Linked DNA regions of Kluyveromyces lactis. The protein of the gene in region 2 interacts with the protein of the main gene of each other region in a pairwise test. Links are inferred from orthologs where the notes say so. Each region holds a gene or a part of one and is shown on either strand. Other genes may lie near its edges. The genes, in order: BBC1, VRP1, LAS17 and ARC35.

Region 1 (4,427 bases), on a different chromosome or scaffold from region 2:
TCGAAAAGCTACGGAAGCGGTTCGAGGTTGAACTGGATGATGTCTGGGATCAATTGAATGAAAATCAAGAACGATGTCCTGAATGCGACGAAGAAATGCCAAAAGATCCAACTCCAGAATCGTTAGAGCTATATCTACATGCTTGGAGATACAAAGGTTTGGATTTGGAGTTTGAAACAGATTATCCCTACTGGGCGAAGTTCGAAAATGAGAAACAAGCTTAACATCAAGTTTTGAGTTGTTTCTTTATTCATGTATTTAACTTTTTTAGTATCCTTCTCAATCAATATTGTATATACTATATATTTATTCAAATAGCAGCATATGTGTTCTTGCATTTGTTCTTCAAGAGGTCAATTTGTTTTACTTCCTTGTATCATTCTTACCAACCAATGTCCTTGCGATGTACTGGCTTGGCCACCTTTAACTTTCCTTTAGTCAAGTTTTCAAGTGGATACATAGATACTTTGCACTCACCACCAAGCTCTTCAATCACTGATAAAGATTGAGTTTCAAGATCCACAGATTTTAGAATGGCCACAAACGGCGTTTCTATTCCCAAGCTGTACGTTAAACCATCGTCAAAGGTAAATTCAGCGTTTCTTGCAACAAGTATCAAACCTGGTACCAATTTTCCTAGCGCAGCTTCATCTATTGCGGTGTTATAAGCATGTTCAAAAACGGTGATACCGTAAGTTCTTTGAGCAATTGGTGGGACTAGATTATCTATTGGACCCAATATTTGAGGAATAAATGAATGACAAGCTTTACCAACACATTTGTTACTGTTTTCGTAAATTGTTTTGATTAACAGATCACTACCAGTACTTTGTGATGAGGAGGGAATATAGTCCTGATGGGAAATTGCTGTCTCAATTGGATTCTTTGGATCATATACAACATATGCTTGAATTTGAGAGTAATCTTCGAACAAGAACTGGAAATCTCTGACAACCAACTTATTTGTATTCCTTCTTTCAACTATGTGATCCTGAGATTCCCAGATGTATTTTACTTTGCTTGGTTTAACAGTATCAGCCTGAACTGTCTTAGTTAACCACCAAGTACTTTGCTTTGAGAACTCTAATTCTGGAATAGTACCTGGTTCAAATTTCGCCGTAGTTGTCCGTCTTAATGGCTGGAAACTGGCCGGAATTTGTGGAGCAGCAGATGAAGGAGTGGCTGGTGATGAGTTTGCTGCACCTGGAATAGTCTGAATTGAAGGTCTTCGTTGCGGTGCATTAGAAGGAGGCAATGGTGGAGGGCCGCCACTGCTTGGTACTGGAGGAGCAGGGGCAGCAGCGGGCTGTTTTGTTGGCAGTTTCTGCTCAGTGTTTTCGGTTTTAACGCTTAAAACTGGTGCTGGAGCCTTTGTTGGTAATGGTGGTACAGGTACGCTTGAAGGAACAGGAGGAATTGGTGCACCTGTTGGAATTGGCGGGACGGAAGGAGCAGATGGAATTGGAGGGGCTGCGGGCAATTTTTGTGGGGCGTTAGTAGCTTGTGGAGTTTGTGGAGTTTGTGGGGATCCCGGAGAAGTATCAATTGTATAAACATGAGTGGGCCTAATTCTTTGAGGAACAGTTGGCGACGGAGCCTCCTCTTCTTCATCTTCCACTTTCTTAGTAGTTTCATCTTCGGATTCATATCCAGAAAGGCCTTGACTTCCCTCGGGTACTTCATCTTTATGTTGGAAGTCTGGGTCTTTGTCGTAATTCACCGAACCTGTAATAGCAGGTTGAGCATCATCGACTCCATCTACAAAGCTAGATTCGCTTTCTTCGTCAGCTTGATTTTCTGGGGTTTCGGCATGACCAGAAGTTTCCACAGCAATTTCTTCAGTCTTCTTCCTAAACATTGGCAGCATCGATGGGTCGGCAAATGGCATGACAGGAACCGCTGTTGGAAGAGATGACGTTTCAGTTGGACTTTCAGATTCTTCCTTTGGTTTCTTGCTTTTGGTTGGGGTCTTCGAAGAGTCAGCAGAAGGCATTGGCATTCCAAATGGGTTGAAGTACGCATTAGGCATACCGTATCTACTTGCATTTGCTAGTCTTGCCATCTTTTCTCTTAAAGCAGCACGTCTTTGTTCCTCTTCATTTTCGTCTTCAGAAGATTCATTTTCATCATTATCATCACGATCGTCATTCTCGTTAACTGACTCCTCAGGAATAGAGTAGGTACGCTGAGGGTGAGAGCCAATTGAAGCAGTATCATTAGGAATTGGTGGAGCTGTGTGAATGCTAGAAGTACTGACATCAACTTCTGGATTTTCAGCATCGGAATCTTCAATAACAGAGGCATCATAACTTTCCCTTTTTTCAATATTAACTGGAGAAGTTGCACTAGCAGTAGCAACGCTGCCGGTTGGGGACGACACACTAGAAATACTTTTTTTCCGCTTATGCAAAGTTTCCGCCTGTTCCTGTTGTTGTTTCTGCATATGCTGTAACATGGATATCCTTTGCTGCAAGGACATTTTAGATTCCGACTTAGCCTCCTTTACCAAATCATCGCTATTAACAAAACCACTCCTCTCAGTATCACCAGAACCTTCTTGAAACGACAGACTATTTCTCAACTGTCTGACATTATCCTGAGAAACCTTTCCCTTCTGGACTGGTGCAGTTGCAGCTGCAGCATTTGGATTGACAGTCTGTGTTTCCGGAATCTTGACCGGAGTTTCCACATTTGGTTTCTCCTCTGGCTGCTTCTCTTGAGCAGGCTCACTAGCAGTTTCCTTCAAAGGTTCACTAACAAAACCTTTGGGGAAAATACCTTGCTTTGTTTTACCATCAGCATCCTTAAACTCACCAAAGAACCACTCATCGTCTTCTATTTCAAGCACCGTAATGATCTGACCTTTGGAAAATGGTAAATCATCCTCAAAATCTGAGGTGTATGGAAACAATGCCTCGACCTTAAATGGCACAGACATCTTTAACACGTAATCTAGTTTCGAGAACTGTTCTTCTAGTAAGCTGGTCCTTTTATTTCACTCGCCGAGTGTTCTTTGTTAAAGGGGTGGTGAAAAGTTCGCGATATAAGGAATCGTTTTAATTTCAAAGGCTTTAGTAACATTTTTCCAAACAATTTTAAAGGATTAGATTTCACCGAAAGGTAGATAACGAACGAATGATAGACTTCACGTCAATTGAAAGGCATATATGAACGTTCAATCAGCAGGTGAGGGTTGCAGAACTTATGACTGATTGGATAAGGCATGACATTGAATTCGAATACTCGTTTGGCGAGATTCATTCGATTTTTAGCGTACGACTATGATTCGGAAATTGATAGAAACGCTTTGTATCGTCGCATCGTTGGAGTTATTGGTGTTAATGGGTTTATAGCATTGTTAAAAAAGCACCGGAAGTTAACGGCCAGTTCATTATTCGATGGTTTGCCTATCGTTGTTGCTATACCGTTACTGAGAAGGATAATTCGTCAAAGACATGCCAGCTGGTTCCTGGGTTTAACGATTGGTCTCTCGCAGCTCAAGGCTAAGCTACCGCATTGGATTGTTTCATACTGGGCTGTAGAATCTGTTGTAGATCAAATCAAGCTCTGGGTTGATTATTCCAGTATAAGCGAACGCCGTTGGATTCTTCTCAGGCAATTGGCAGCTAGTCTCTTGATACCAATCCTATACCACAGAAATCAATCGAAGGGGAGATTATACAGGATATTATTCGAGACTAGAAAACCTTGGAAGGACTTCCTTTTGTTATTTGTCGCATGGAATGTCGTCAAGACTTATAAGAATGTGAAATCCATCCTTTTGAAAGAGAAGCTTAAGAAGAATAAAGTGAATACTTCCTCAATGACGTTCGATTCAGAGGCAAAGGAATCTCAGACACAACATGGTTCAATGACAAGGATACTCATGCAAAGGTTAGAAGAGTTAAATGAGTTATCCGATAAGAAATCAAGCGGGTCGGTCAAAGAACGAGTGTATGGTTATTTCTTCAGTGACAATTTTATCAAATGTGTAAAATGGACGCTCTGGAGACAGGTGGTGATGTTAATCTTCAACGGTCAACATTCCAAATGTCTAAAGCCATTACATAAATCGATCATCATCATGTTGTCATTCACTTTGCTGAGCGACCCACAACATTTAGATATTAACTGGGAGCTACTCAAATACTTGGGGAGATCAACGTTATCTCAAGAACTTGGTAGGATACCACATTATCAAAAACCAATCATTTTCGCTGCCCTTAGTCTCTCATATCTAACCAGGAACCCAATTGCCTAATAAACAGACTGATTTGTTCCTAGTTTGATTTGTATCAATATGCGTGTGTTCCTTTTCTAATTAGAGTCTTTTCGTGTCGGTGTGTATATAAATGTTACGCATATGTTGATCTATACACAGATCCCGTATACATACGTATATATATATATATCACGATTCGTACGTT
Region 2 (4,122 bases):
CAGACGCAAATGAATAAATTCTTCCAAACTCACAAACCCGGAAAATTAGTGATGAGGATAAACTTCTCGTTCCAAACACATTCCAAACTGTTTGTCACAGATGATAATAAGGGTACAGAGGAAGAGGAAATTCGTCCGAAAACTTTAGAAGAGATGCATGGAGGTCATGATTTGCATTACAGATCTGAAAGACAATGTCTAATCAAATTAGAAAACTCAAAATCAATGTGTTTTTCTATCAAGACGTATCTATGGAACTTGCAAGATGAGTTCTTAGCAAACGATTACTATTCACAGGAAGGTGTTATTCAGGATTTATGTGACGCAGTGAAAGGAATGCAAGATTCAATTGGACAATACAAGCGTAAACCCGAGTGGGGGCCAGCATTGCTTGAAATGCTTGAATCAGCATTACATAGAAAGTTGTAAATAACTTTAACGAACAATATTGACAGATACTCTTAAATTAACGAGTGTTGTTAATAGAGCTTGAGTCGAATGTGAATGCAGTGACGAAAAAATAAAAAAGCTTCTCCGCGACGGGGAATTGAACCCCGATCTCGCACGCGACAAGCGCGAATTCTAACCATTAAACTATCGCGGAATAGATATTTTTATGAAAGATTGAGAAGACATTCCCTCACAAGTCTGGAATACGAAACCATGTGCAAGAAGTTCATTTCCGAGACTAAATTATAAGGCTTTTTGGGTAACCAAGGTTCGAATCACAAAATACCATACGATTTAGAGATGTGCCCCAGTTTCCTGGGTAAAGGACGCTATTTATGCATCCAAAACCATTCGTGAAAATTCGTGATGATGTTTTTTAGCATTCAACAGAGGAAAATCCACAGAAACGAGGGAAACACACAGCAAGAAGCTGTGAATTTATCTTCAATTTGGGCATCGCTTTGAATCCATGCACCACTGAAAGAAAAACTGCGCACGGATCTTCGAAGATGCCACTTAAAATCTATATACTATGAGGACGGATTCCATTAGCTAAGTTAAAAGAACGACGACAGAAAATGCATTACTTCGCGTTAGGACACCTGTCACTAACAAAACAAAGAATTGACAACGTATTACATCTTGCTGTGGAATATATTAGCTCAATTTTTAATCCAATCCCCGATGGTGGTGGTACTAGCTATAGATAGTGTACATGATATATAGATTTCAGTACCTTCTTCACATAGTAAGTTGTTAAGATGCTTGATCGCCTTTGAAAACTTTTTTAAGACAAGGTCCAATACCAAAATGTTACCCGAATATATTATATTGGTAAATTATTCGTATAGGGCTGGTAACTGGGAATGGCACTCCACTAAAACGATGTTCCTCATTTAGTTACTACATGCCGATGCTACCGCGAAATCATGAAGAGGTCCAGTGAACTTCGTACTGTAGTAGTATCATAGAATCGTCTTGCATTGCCGTATTCTTCTTGATTATTGATTTAGCACCGAACTGAAAGTGTAGTGTCTGGGTGGAAAGTGTAGTGTCCGGGTATCCTTGAGGCTTCCAGATATCAATTAGCTATTTAAAAATGAAAGAAACGTCAAATCAGAGAGAAACAAACTGTTGCAGTGCATAGGGGTCCACTGCGTTTAAGGTAGTTATTCGAAAAGAATCATAGCGATACCAATTGACCAGTGTGTTTCCGCTAAAAGTTCTATAAGACTTAAGGATTTGAGCATACTTTGTTATAGATAACTTGCTGAACATAGAAATTAGAATAATATGGCTGGTCCACCTCCACCACCAGCACCTCCTCCGCCTATGTTTGGCGGAAATTCATCCAATGCTGGCTCCGCTGCAACTCCTGTCCCACCCCCAGCGGCTGTTCCAGGACGTGATGCCTTATTGAGTGATATTAGGAAAGGTGCAAAACTTAAGAAAGCACACACTGTGGATAAGAGTGCACCTGCGATTGGAGGATCAAGTTCGATGAGCCACTCTGTATCAGTATCGAGCTCAGCAGTCCCGCCTGTAGCACCATCGATCCCGACTCCAACTCAGCTTCCCGGTGTCCCTCAATTGGGAGATATACTTGCTGGTGGGATCCCTAAATTAAAACATGTTTCGGGTTCCTCTAAATCACCAGCTATTCCATCTGGAGCTCCTCCGCTTCCGGATAGCTCTTCAATCCCAAAAATTCCTTCTAATAGACCACAGCGTAAAAAGACTTTGAGAAGTGAGGGTGATTCGTCAGTGGCGGCTCCTCCTGCTCCTCCTCCAATGGCAGCACCGGCAATTCCAACAAGTCCGCCACCAGTACCCATGATGAACACACCACCGGTTCCGAAACATCCTCCAGCAAGACAACGCACAGAAGCACCTCCGGTTCAAGCACAACCTGCTCCGCCTGTAACGTTACCACCTGCACCTCCAGCTCCTCCTATAGCCGTGCCACCAGCTCCGGCACCTCCAGTACCTCTAGCACCTCCCACAATTAGCACCCCTCCTGCGGCCCCACCAGCACCTCCTACGCCTGCACCTCCTACATCTGCACCTCCAGCTCCAGCACCTCCAGCACCTCCCATAATCAGTACCCCTCCTGCAGCCCCACCTGCACCTCCAAGCATATCATTCCCAACGTCCACGCCGCAACCACCACCATCTGCACCGTCCCCAGCTGGAGGACTTCCATTCCTGGCGGAGATTCAACGAAAGAGAGATGACAGATTCGTAGTTGAAGGAACAGGACATGGTGCGTCGAATAATACAGCATCTTCCGCTCCAAAGGTACCGCTTCCCTCATCATCTGCTCCTCCGGCTCCTCCTTCGTTCAGTGCTCCTTCGGTTCCACCAACTCCAGCTCCTGCTGCTCCACCTTCAATTGCTGCTCCTCCGGCCCCACCGGCTCCTGCACCTCCTGCACCTCCTGCCCCTCCTGCCCCTCCGGCCCCACCTACTCCTTCCTTTAATGCACCTACGCTGCCTCAATCTACCCCAAGTTCTGAAGCACCATCTATTCCAGCCGGAGGATTACCATTTCTGGCATCAATACAAAGCAGAAGGGATGATTCTCACATTATCGAAAGTGAGAATAGTCATACACCAGTGGGTGCGCCAACGGCTCCTCCTTCCCCTCCTCCACAAGCCGCTTCATTTCCCTCTGCCAAAGCTCCACCACCTCCACCCGCAGCCTCAGAGGAATCTCTTCAACAAAATCAGCAACCTCAAGTGGAACGCACAAATAGTTCCTCATCAAAAGGTTTCTTCAAACACAGACTTTTTTCATCTGGTAATGAAGCCAGTCGACCATCTCAATCTACTAACCCTTACACAAATGCTGCTGAAATAGATGTCGGAGATTTCACAATAGAAGGAAGTCAAGATACGACCGGAATAAAGCTGAATAACAGTGGAATAACCATTGATGATTCAAAATTCGATTGGTCTAACAGAAACGATCTCCCCAAACCGAGACAATTCTTGGGCTTAAGAAAACTATATCCAAGTGGCAGAGGTTCAAGTGTTCCATTAGATTTTACTGTATTTACATGACTTTATAATGAGTAAGAACTATATAAGATATTAATGAAAGCATTCCTAGACGAGTGGAAGAGGAAGAAGTATAACACTTAATCCCACCCATCTACCCACCTTTTCTTCCACAAATCGCAGTTGAATTTCTCCTTTCCCAATTTCTCATTAACTTCATTATGTGCCGCACAAATCCATCTACCTAAGTCGTCTTTTGAATCAACCTTGGGTGCGTTCTCTTTTATAAATAGTTCAAAGTCCTTAGCACACCACCCGCATGGATAAACATGAGAGAATATGGTCATAAATTGTTTCATTTCTTGTTTCTGTGTGTCCGATGGCTTATTCGGATACTTGGCAGCTATCGTATGTAACAAAGTCCAAGAAGAACGGCCTAGCTCTTCGACATCAGCAGGCCCAGACTTAGAGTATGTCTTAGATCCAGGAATCAACAGTGGCTGGTCAGCTGAAGTATTTGAAATATCTGTCGCGGCCCCAGCTGCTAATTCACCGGAGCCAGGAGACTGAGTGGAATCCGCCACTGGTGAAGCAGAAGAATTGCCGCTTCCCCGAGCCTTCAAAGTGCCGGTCACAAATTGAAAGTCCAACAAAGTATTGCATGAACGACAG
Region 3 (4,345 bases), on a different chromosome or scaffold from region 2:
AAGGACAATGCAATAAACCATCGTCAAAGGTGGTTGAGCAAGCAGAAGCAAAATCAATAGCTAGGTTGTCAGGGAACTGGTATAGGAAGGATAAGACGACAACATCAACATTGTCCGAAGCACAATAAGTACCTAACGATTCTTGAGTGCCTGCAGAGGCTTGGCCCCAATACACAGCGACGTTATCTTTAGCGTTTATGTCAAATGCCGAGGTGAGCAAAAGTTGAACCAAAGACAACAGAAGTAAACGAGGGTGAAACATTGTAGATTCTGTTAATACTTTTAAAGGAATGAATGGAGGGTGTTCTCTAATTTCAATACTAGTATCCTGCGAATGTCAGAATATGTAATCCTTTAATAAAGAGTGACAGATTAAAATTTAAAGGCTTGTATAGAGAGATAGCACACGCACACAGGTAAGTACTGTTATGGTAGTATTAGTAATTTTTGATATCTTGTATTTCTGGTGACCAGTTTAACACAATGATTGATAGTTGCATTACTGGTACCTCATCCTGCCATTGTTGTGCCCTTTATATACCAGAAATCACAAAATATGACATCGAGCTGGACCCCAGCACTTGTTTCAAACATTCCAAAGCATGTAAACAAACACACCACAGAAAGCATTCTCAAACACTTGCTCCTGCTCACTGTTTATGTTTACTCTGTTTCGTTTCGTTTTGTTTCGCAACATCCAAAAGCTGTTCCTGTAATATGCTAAAACATAATTTCGTGTCAAAAAAGTGCCTAGGAAAAAGAATTCTTTTTGGAAGAGTTTTACGCTGGACTAAAGAGAAGAAAGCATTTACGTTTAACGTAACTGTAAACAAGACACAAAATGTAAACCCAATCACGCCGCCTGTTGTAAACTATTTCACATCATAAGCACGCAATCCAAACACCGTCCACCTGCAAAAAAAAACCATCTTTCGATGTTTCTCCCTCTGATCTCTTCGAGCATGTAGCTGTTGTTTACCTTTTGAATACCGCATGCTGGTTGCCAAAAAAACCCAGCATAAAGCGATCAACACGTACAAAGTGATTCTGACTTTTGTCAGATGCTGCAGTGCCAGACGGTTCCTGGGTCAGGACAGAAATTCTTCTGCCATTGTGCCGCTGTAACCACGTCCACATGCGTCGGCCAGATGTATCAGTAAACAGAACTCTTAATTTTTCTCCGTATTATGTTCGAATGCGTGTTCGTACTGAAATGCTTCTTGTCTTTCCTGTACCTTGCAGTGACCTAAATGGGCACACTGTATTCCCATTTACAAATGGTCTGTTAGTACTTTTGAATTCAATATGGCAACTTGAACAAACCCCATTGTGTAAAGGTCCTTTTTTTTTTATCTCTCTCGCAGTTCTGTTGGTCCCTTCTTCTTTCACTGAATCACTCTGTGAATTATAGGGGAATAATGCCGTATTAAGAATCGCTTCAACTTTCAATATTGAAAAATTGAAAAGTTGCGAAATGTTAAACAGACCGAAAACTTAAGAACCGTAAATTATAGTCAGCCAAACCCCCCCACTCCCTAAAGTGCATCGCGCGTTTGTGTTATTTTCATTAGAACCCATCGGTAGCTGCCTCCGTCAAGAATTGATTTCAAGTTGAACGAGTTTACACTTCTTTTGAGAAATTAATAATCATAAAGCAGTTGTTTCCGAGTATACTATGGGAGGCTTGAATTCTGCTGAGAAAGAAAAGGTTAAACATGCTTTGCCCAAGGCTTCTAACAAGATTATAGATGTTACTATCGCTAGGTTATACATTGCATACCCTAATCCAGAGAAATGGGTTTATACTGGCTTATCTGGTGCCATTGCATTGGTGGACGATATCGTTGGTAATACTTTCTTTTTGAAGTTGATCGACGTGCATGGGCATCGAGGTGTTCTCTGGGATCAAGAATTGTACGTGAACTTTCAATATAACCAGGATCGTACTTTCTTTCATACCTTTGAATTAGAACAATGTAACGCCGGGTTGTTATTCACCGATATTGGCGATGCTTCACATTTTTTGAAACGAGTACAGAAACGGGAGAAATACGCGTCCAAGAAGACCTTGGCCAACAAGAATGCAATTGCATTAGAGGACCAAATTAAGAAAGAGGAAGAGAGTAAAGTGATCCATGGTCCAAGAGGCGAATCCTTGATCAGTGACCAAAGGGTCAGATATAGATATGAACCGGAAAAGCACGAGCACCGCCAGGAACACCATTACGAGCAGCCCAGCCAGAATTATGCTTCAACTGAAAACTCAGCTTCAGATGCAAGTGCCGCTCCTCCTTCTTTTGCCTCGAAACCACCGCCACCGCCTGTCGAGAAACAACCTCCTCCTCCTGTGAGCATCCCATCTTATAAGTACGACTCTATTCCATCATTCCCAAGCTCTCCTGCACCTCCATCGGTTTCCTCTACTCATTCTCCTACCCCGGATTCATCCTATGCATCAACACCAGCACCAAGTAATCCTCCTCCACCAATAAACCACCCGGTACATGCAGTTCCTCCTCCTTTACCAGCAGAACAATATCGTCCACTGGCTCAGTCACCTCATCCGCAATTCCAGCAGCAGCATAATTCTCCTTCACCTGCAGCACCTCCTTCGATTCCGCCTATGCAGCAAAGCGTTGCAATCCCTCCTCCACCTTCCCATCCAGCTCAACAACAAAACGTCACTAATAACAACACTCCTCAGTTTGGACAATATTCTGTTGCTGGTCTGCAACCACCTCCGAGACCAACTTCAACGAGACCTGGTATTGCTCCTCCAGTTTCGAGGCGTGGTCCGGTACCACCTCCCCCTCCAAGACGCTCAGCTGCTCCGCCGTCCATTCCTTCAAGAGGTCCTCTACCTAATGCTCCAACTGGCGGTCAGCATAGTCGTACTGGAAGAGGGCCTCCACCACCACCACCACCTAGACGTGGTGGCCAGGCTCCTTCTCCACCTGCAAGCAGAGGTACAACTCATAACTCAGCCATCGGCCCTCCCCAGCCCCAGCTTCCACCACAAATGCAATCTCCTCCTCTTCAACAGCATAATACCTACAATGCAGCGCCTCCTGTTCAGCAATATCAACCACCACAGCAAACCGCATACATTCCGCCTCCCCCTGTCTTACCACCCCACTCAGGTGTAAGCACTCAGTATCACCCATCGACCGAGCCTATGTTAGCCCAACCCCAGCATCATATAGCGGTACCTAATGGCACTGCACCTCCCCCAGCACCTCCTGCCCCTCCGGCACCTTTTGCTCCACAGATAACGAACTCAGCGCCCGCACCACCACCACCTCCTCCTCCTCCTCCAGCCCCTGCATTTAATCAACCTGAAGCAGGATCTGGTTTTGTTGAAAATACTGGTGATGCTGGAAGGGATGCCTTATTAGCATCGATTCGTGGAGCTGGTCTGAATTCCCTCCGTAAGGTGGATAAATCTCAACTTGAAAAGCCAAGTCCTTTGTTACAAGAAGTTCGTAGTGATGCGCCGGTATCTCAACCCACAGGCGGGTCAACTGGCGGACCTGTTGGTGCTCCTGCGTCCTTGGCTGATGCCCTAGCTGCGGCTTTAAACCAAAGAAAGAATAAAGTTGCTCGTGACGATGATATAGACAACGGTGATGATTGGTGAAAGTAATTCACCCTACTTGAACTGCATCTGACTAGACTGTGGAATTATGATTTGGTATTTGTATGTACGGTGTACCTATATATTACTTTCAGATGCCTTTAAAACAGAAGACAGATAAAACTAAACTAATTATTCAAAGAACTCCACTTATTTGACCATACCTGTATCCATTTCAACTTGGACTCATCTGAACCGTTTAGCTGTGTAATAATTTTTATAACTTTCTTAACATCATTATTGATAGCAAGTACTGATGTTTCCACTTCTGGATCTACTTCATATTCAGCGTTCACTAAGGTGGATGAAATTAAAGTATCAGAGTTAGAAACTATTGAATTGTGGAGTTGATTTAGCTCAGATAGATATGCTGCTGTAGTTACAGTATCCTTTTTTATGGTTATCGATTTGGATAATGAACTCAACAAGAGCTTAAGGAGACGAGATTTTTGCGATAGTGATTTGACAAATTCAATCATGGATTCTGAAGCTTCCTCTTCCTCTTCTTCATCTAAATCCGTACCTTCCTCATCACTGAACTTGTCATTCATTCCGAATGGGTCTGAATTTATTACTGGATCCTCCAACCACTCTTCTAACTCTTCGATTGAATCTTGTAGAAGCTTCACTGAAGAAGACAAATACTCAGTCAAGAGTCCTAAGTTACCTTGATTTGATAATAACTCTAGGTGTTCACATTGCGACCAAAGC
Region 4 (3,065 bases), on a different chromosome or scaffold from region 2:
TTAACACCAGCCTACCTAATTACTCGAGCCCGGAAGTCAAACTACCCCGCAATATTCTATCACGCATAATTCAAGTAGTTGGTTCAAACACCCTATTTACCTGCACCCACCTTACAGCTTGATCGTCCATAATCCAGTATAGTTGTTTGATATTTCAAAATAGGAAATACAACAACTACCTCAGTAAGGACTTTTCTCGTAATTCGGAACCCGCATAGTGCAGCTGGTGTTCCCAACGAAATGAACAAAATCTTTTAGGTTAAAAGATCTCTCAAACCATGCACATTTTCTGAACAATTTCCCGGACATCAGCAACAACACATATTCGATCACATGACTTCCGAATATTTTCAACTATGATTTTTCATCATCAGAAACTGACAAAAAATTATGAAGCAAATGTTGAATTGAAAGAGTTATATCAATCGGTCAGTGAATAAATGTTGGCGTAAGTTCAACTCTGAGTTTGACTTACGTGCACTGGATCTTAAGAAACAATCCTGTCAAAGATACCAATGTTCAAACAGGTTTTCGGATTGAGCAGTAGTCTGACTAGACTATCGTTGCGTAATGTTCGTTCAAGCATAGCATTTGCACCACCACTGCAACAACGTTCTTTCTCATATACTTCACCAATACAAGCCACGTTGAACCAAATAAAGAGAGGGGTCAAGCCTCCTGGCCGTAAGAAGATCACTGAATCCCCAGATTTGGAGGTATGCCCGATTCGTAAAGGAGTTGTGCTAAGAGTGATGGTATTGAAGCCAAAGAAACCTAATTCTGCTCAGAGAAAAGCTTGTAGAGTGAGATTAACCAATGGTAACATTGTTTCTGCATATATCCCAGGCGAAGGCCATAACGCACAAGAGCACAGTATTGTATATGTTCGTGGAGGCCGTTGCCAAGATTTACCTGGTGTGAAATATCATGTTGTCCGTGGTGCCGGTGATTTGGCCGGTGTTGTCAACAGAATCAGCTCCAGATCGAAGTACGGTGTGAAGAAACCAACAAAGGAGTAAGATACCAACAGTATTATATTCTGAATTATCAACATAAAATATATACTTATGTTTATAAACTAGACCTTCATGTAAATATGCGAATAATCTATCTACTGGTTGCTCAATCTTTATGGCCACGTGACCGAAATTTTGTTCGGATGGTTTTTCCATCATAGAAAAGTGCTGAAAATTTAGTTAACAACGATTTCAACGAAAAGGTGCCCCTATTGGAACAAACAGAAAGAAAGATTCATCATCTGCAAGGAATTGGGAAATTTCGAAGAGACTAAACCTGCTCAGTGTTGAGGAAACTTACAAGTTGATATTGTTCCAAGTCAATTGAAGAAAAGCTCATAGACTTGTTCGAAAAAAAAGCCTGGGTGAACACTTGTGAGCCTTCTAATATCAATACATAATAATGTTACACCTTAAACCATACAACCTATTGGTCCAAAAGACATTAACAGAAGCTTTGGAAGCTTACAACAATGGGTCTCCTTTAACTTTGGACAGAATCATCTCCGACTTTGATTATACAACGTTACACATCACCAACGATGGCACTGATAAGTCGAACCTATTAGTTTCCATCAGAACCAAGGCTACGCAATCTTGTAATGAGAGTGGGAACGATTTACAAGGGTTCTTGCAGGCAAAATTCGATGAAGTACCAGGTTTGGCTCTATCATCTGCTAAAAAGGAGGCCGGTTACGATTTTACCATTACTGTTGATCTATCTCAAATCACTGCGCAATCTATTGTGCAAGCATCTTTGTTTAAGATCCTTGTAATGTCATATCCATTCTATTTAGCGTTTGGCCAGAGTAATGCTCTTTCTCAATTGAATGAAATAGACCAAGTGGAAAAATCAAAGGAGGCCAGGGCTATGGTTATCAAATACAGAGATGATGAAAACATATACATCAAGCCGTCCTTTGATCGTATCACTGTTATATTCGAAACTATATTCCAAGATGAAACTGACAAAGTTTTCGGTAAAGTTTTCCTACAAGAATTCGTAGACGCAAGAAAGAGAAATAGATCCATCCAATCTGCGCCTCAAGTGCTATTCTCCCATGAACCACCTTTGGAAATTCAAGAAGTAGCCCAACAACACGCTCACGTTGCAGGTGCTAAGAAGTCTACCAGGAGATTCATCACATTTGTATTGTTCCCACGTCACTACTCCTCCGATGAACTAATGTTCACATCTGTGTCACAGCTTGCCCTATTCAGGAACTATTTCCATTACCATATCAAGTGTGCTAAGGCATACATGCATTCAAGAATGAGATATCGTGTTGATACATTCATCAAGGTCTTGAATAGAGCAAAGCTAGACGAAGAAACTGAATCCGATTCACGTAGAACAATCACCGGTAGAAAAATGGTCTACTAAGTAGAAATTGGTTTCAATAATGTGTTTAAAGTATAAAATAGAATGCTGCCGATGTAGCGATTTATATCACGTGACAAGTAGATGATCCTATTCAGATTTTTTTCCCTCCGTAATGCCATGCAATTGCTGGGCAATAAACGCTCGAGCCTTGAGTCAGTTCTAACACAACCAAAGAGGAATGGAAAAAAAAAAAAAAAGACCGGGTAAAACCTACCTGAGTGGAAAGAAAAAAAAAAACAACGCAACTCCGAGTCGGACCATTCCGTCCCAGTTTTAGAGTGCTTGAGAAGCTCAAGAAGCTTAATTTTCAATTTTCCTCACCCTTGTTGCAGCTGCGAAGTAAGGCACAAGGTAAATGGTACATGGCCTAACCAGAGTACTAACGCCGGTCAAGTTTGGGCTGGAATTAGCACTGCCCTGCCTTGCCCCTTCCTTTATCTGTCCAAACCCCACTTCACAATTCAGAACGGAATGACAGCTGGGCAAGCCTATACTGCCAATGTTCGCAAACTTGCATTCTGGAACCAAAACCCTACGGCCTTACCTGTTTAGCCATTCCTTACATGGTAATGCCATTTGTGCTTTTTTTTTTTCCTTCATTAATTCTACGCCCACGTTACTGGGTCTTACCCAAACGGAATATATTTTATGATATCGTCGGCAAT

What was found.
Region 1: the proteins of VRP1 (region 2) and BBC1 interact in a two-hybrid assay, tested with the Saccharomyces cerevisiae proteins (2 studies listed by BioGRID). The link is inferred for Kluyveromyces lactis from reciprocal best matches to the Saccharomyces cerevisiae genes VRP1 and BBC1.
Region 3: the proteins of VRP1 (region 2) and LAS17 interact in binary tests that used the Saccharomyces cerevisiae proteins (3 or more experiments, as listed by UniProt). The link is inferred for Kluyveromyces lactis from reciprocal best matches to the Saccharomyces cerevisiae genes VRP1 and LAS17.
Region 4: the proteins of VRP1 (region 2) and ARC35 interact in binary tests that used the Saccharomyces cerevisiae proteins (3 or more experiments, as listed by UniProt). The link is inferred for Kluyveromyces lactis from reciprocal best matches to the Saccharomyces cerevisiae genes VRP1 and ARC35.

Annotation. Positions count from the first base shown.
Region 1 is NC_006042.1:1,351,414-1,355,840, forward strand, and holds BBC1 (Bbc1p), read right to left. Parts: upstream 2,939-4,427; coding exon 383-2,938; downstream 1-382. Other genes in the region: pseudouridine synthase PUS6, read left to right, coding at 1-224; PEX35 (Pex35p), read left to right, coding at 3,224-4,261. UniProt on the Saccharomyces cerevisiae protein: Involved in the regulation of actin cytoskeleton.
Region 2 is NC_006038.1:536,796-540,917, forward strand, and holds VRP1 (Vrp1p), read left to right. Parts: upstream 1-1,743; coding exon 1,744-3,513; downstream 3,514-4,122. Other genes in the region: KLLA0_B05995g (heme-dependent oxidative N-demethylase family protein), read left to right, coding at 1-429; ERV1 (flavin-linked sulfhydryl oxidase), read right to left, coding at 3,591-4,122. UniProt on the Saccharomyces cerevisiae protein: Involved in cytoskeletal organization and cellular growth. May exert its effects on the cytoskeleton directly, or indirectly via proline-binding proteins (e.g. profilin) or proteins possessing SH3 domains.
Region 3 is NC_006039.1:433,045-437,389, forward strand, and holds LAS17 (actin-binding protein LAS17), read left to right. Parts: upstream 1-1,675; coding exon 1,676-3,637; downstream 3,638-4,345. Other genes in the region: CTS1 (chitinase), read right to left, coding at 1-262; KLLA0_C04752g (uncharacterized protein), read left to right, coding at 484-888; KLLA0_C04796g (uncharacterized protein), read right to left, coding at 3,763-4,345.
Region 4 is NC_006042.1:670,695-673,759, forward strand, and holds ARC35 (Arc35p), read left to right. Parts: upstream 1-1,419; coding exon 1,420-2,400; downstream 2,401-3,065. Other genes in the region: MRPS12 (mitochondrial 37S ribosomal protein uS12m), read left to right, coding at 516-1,019.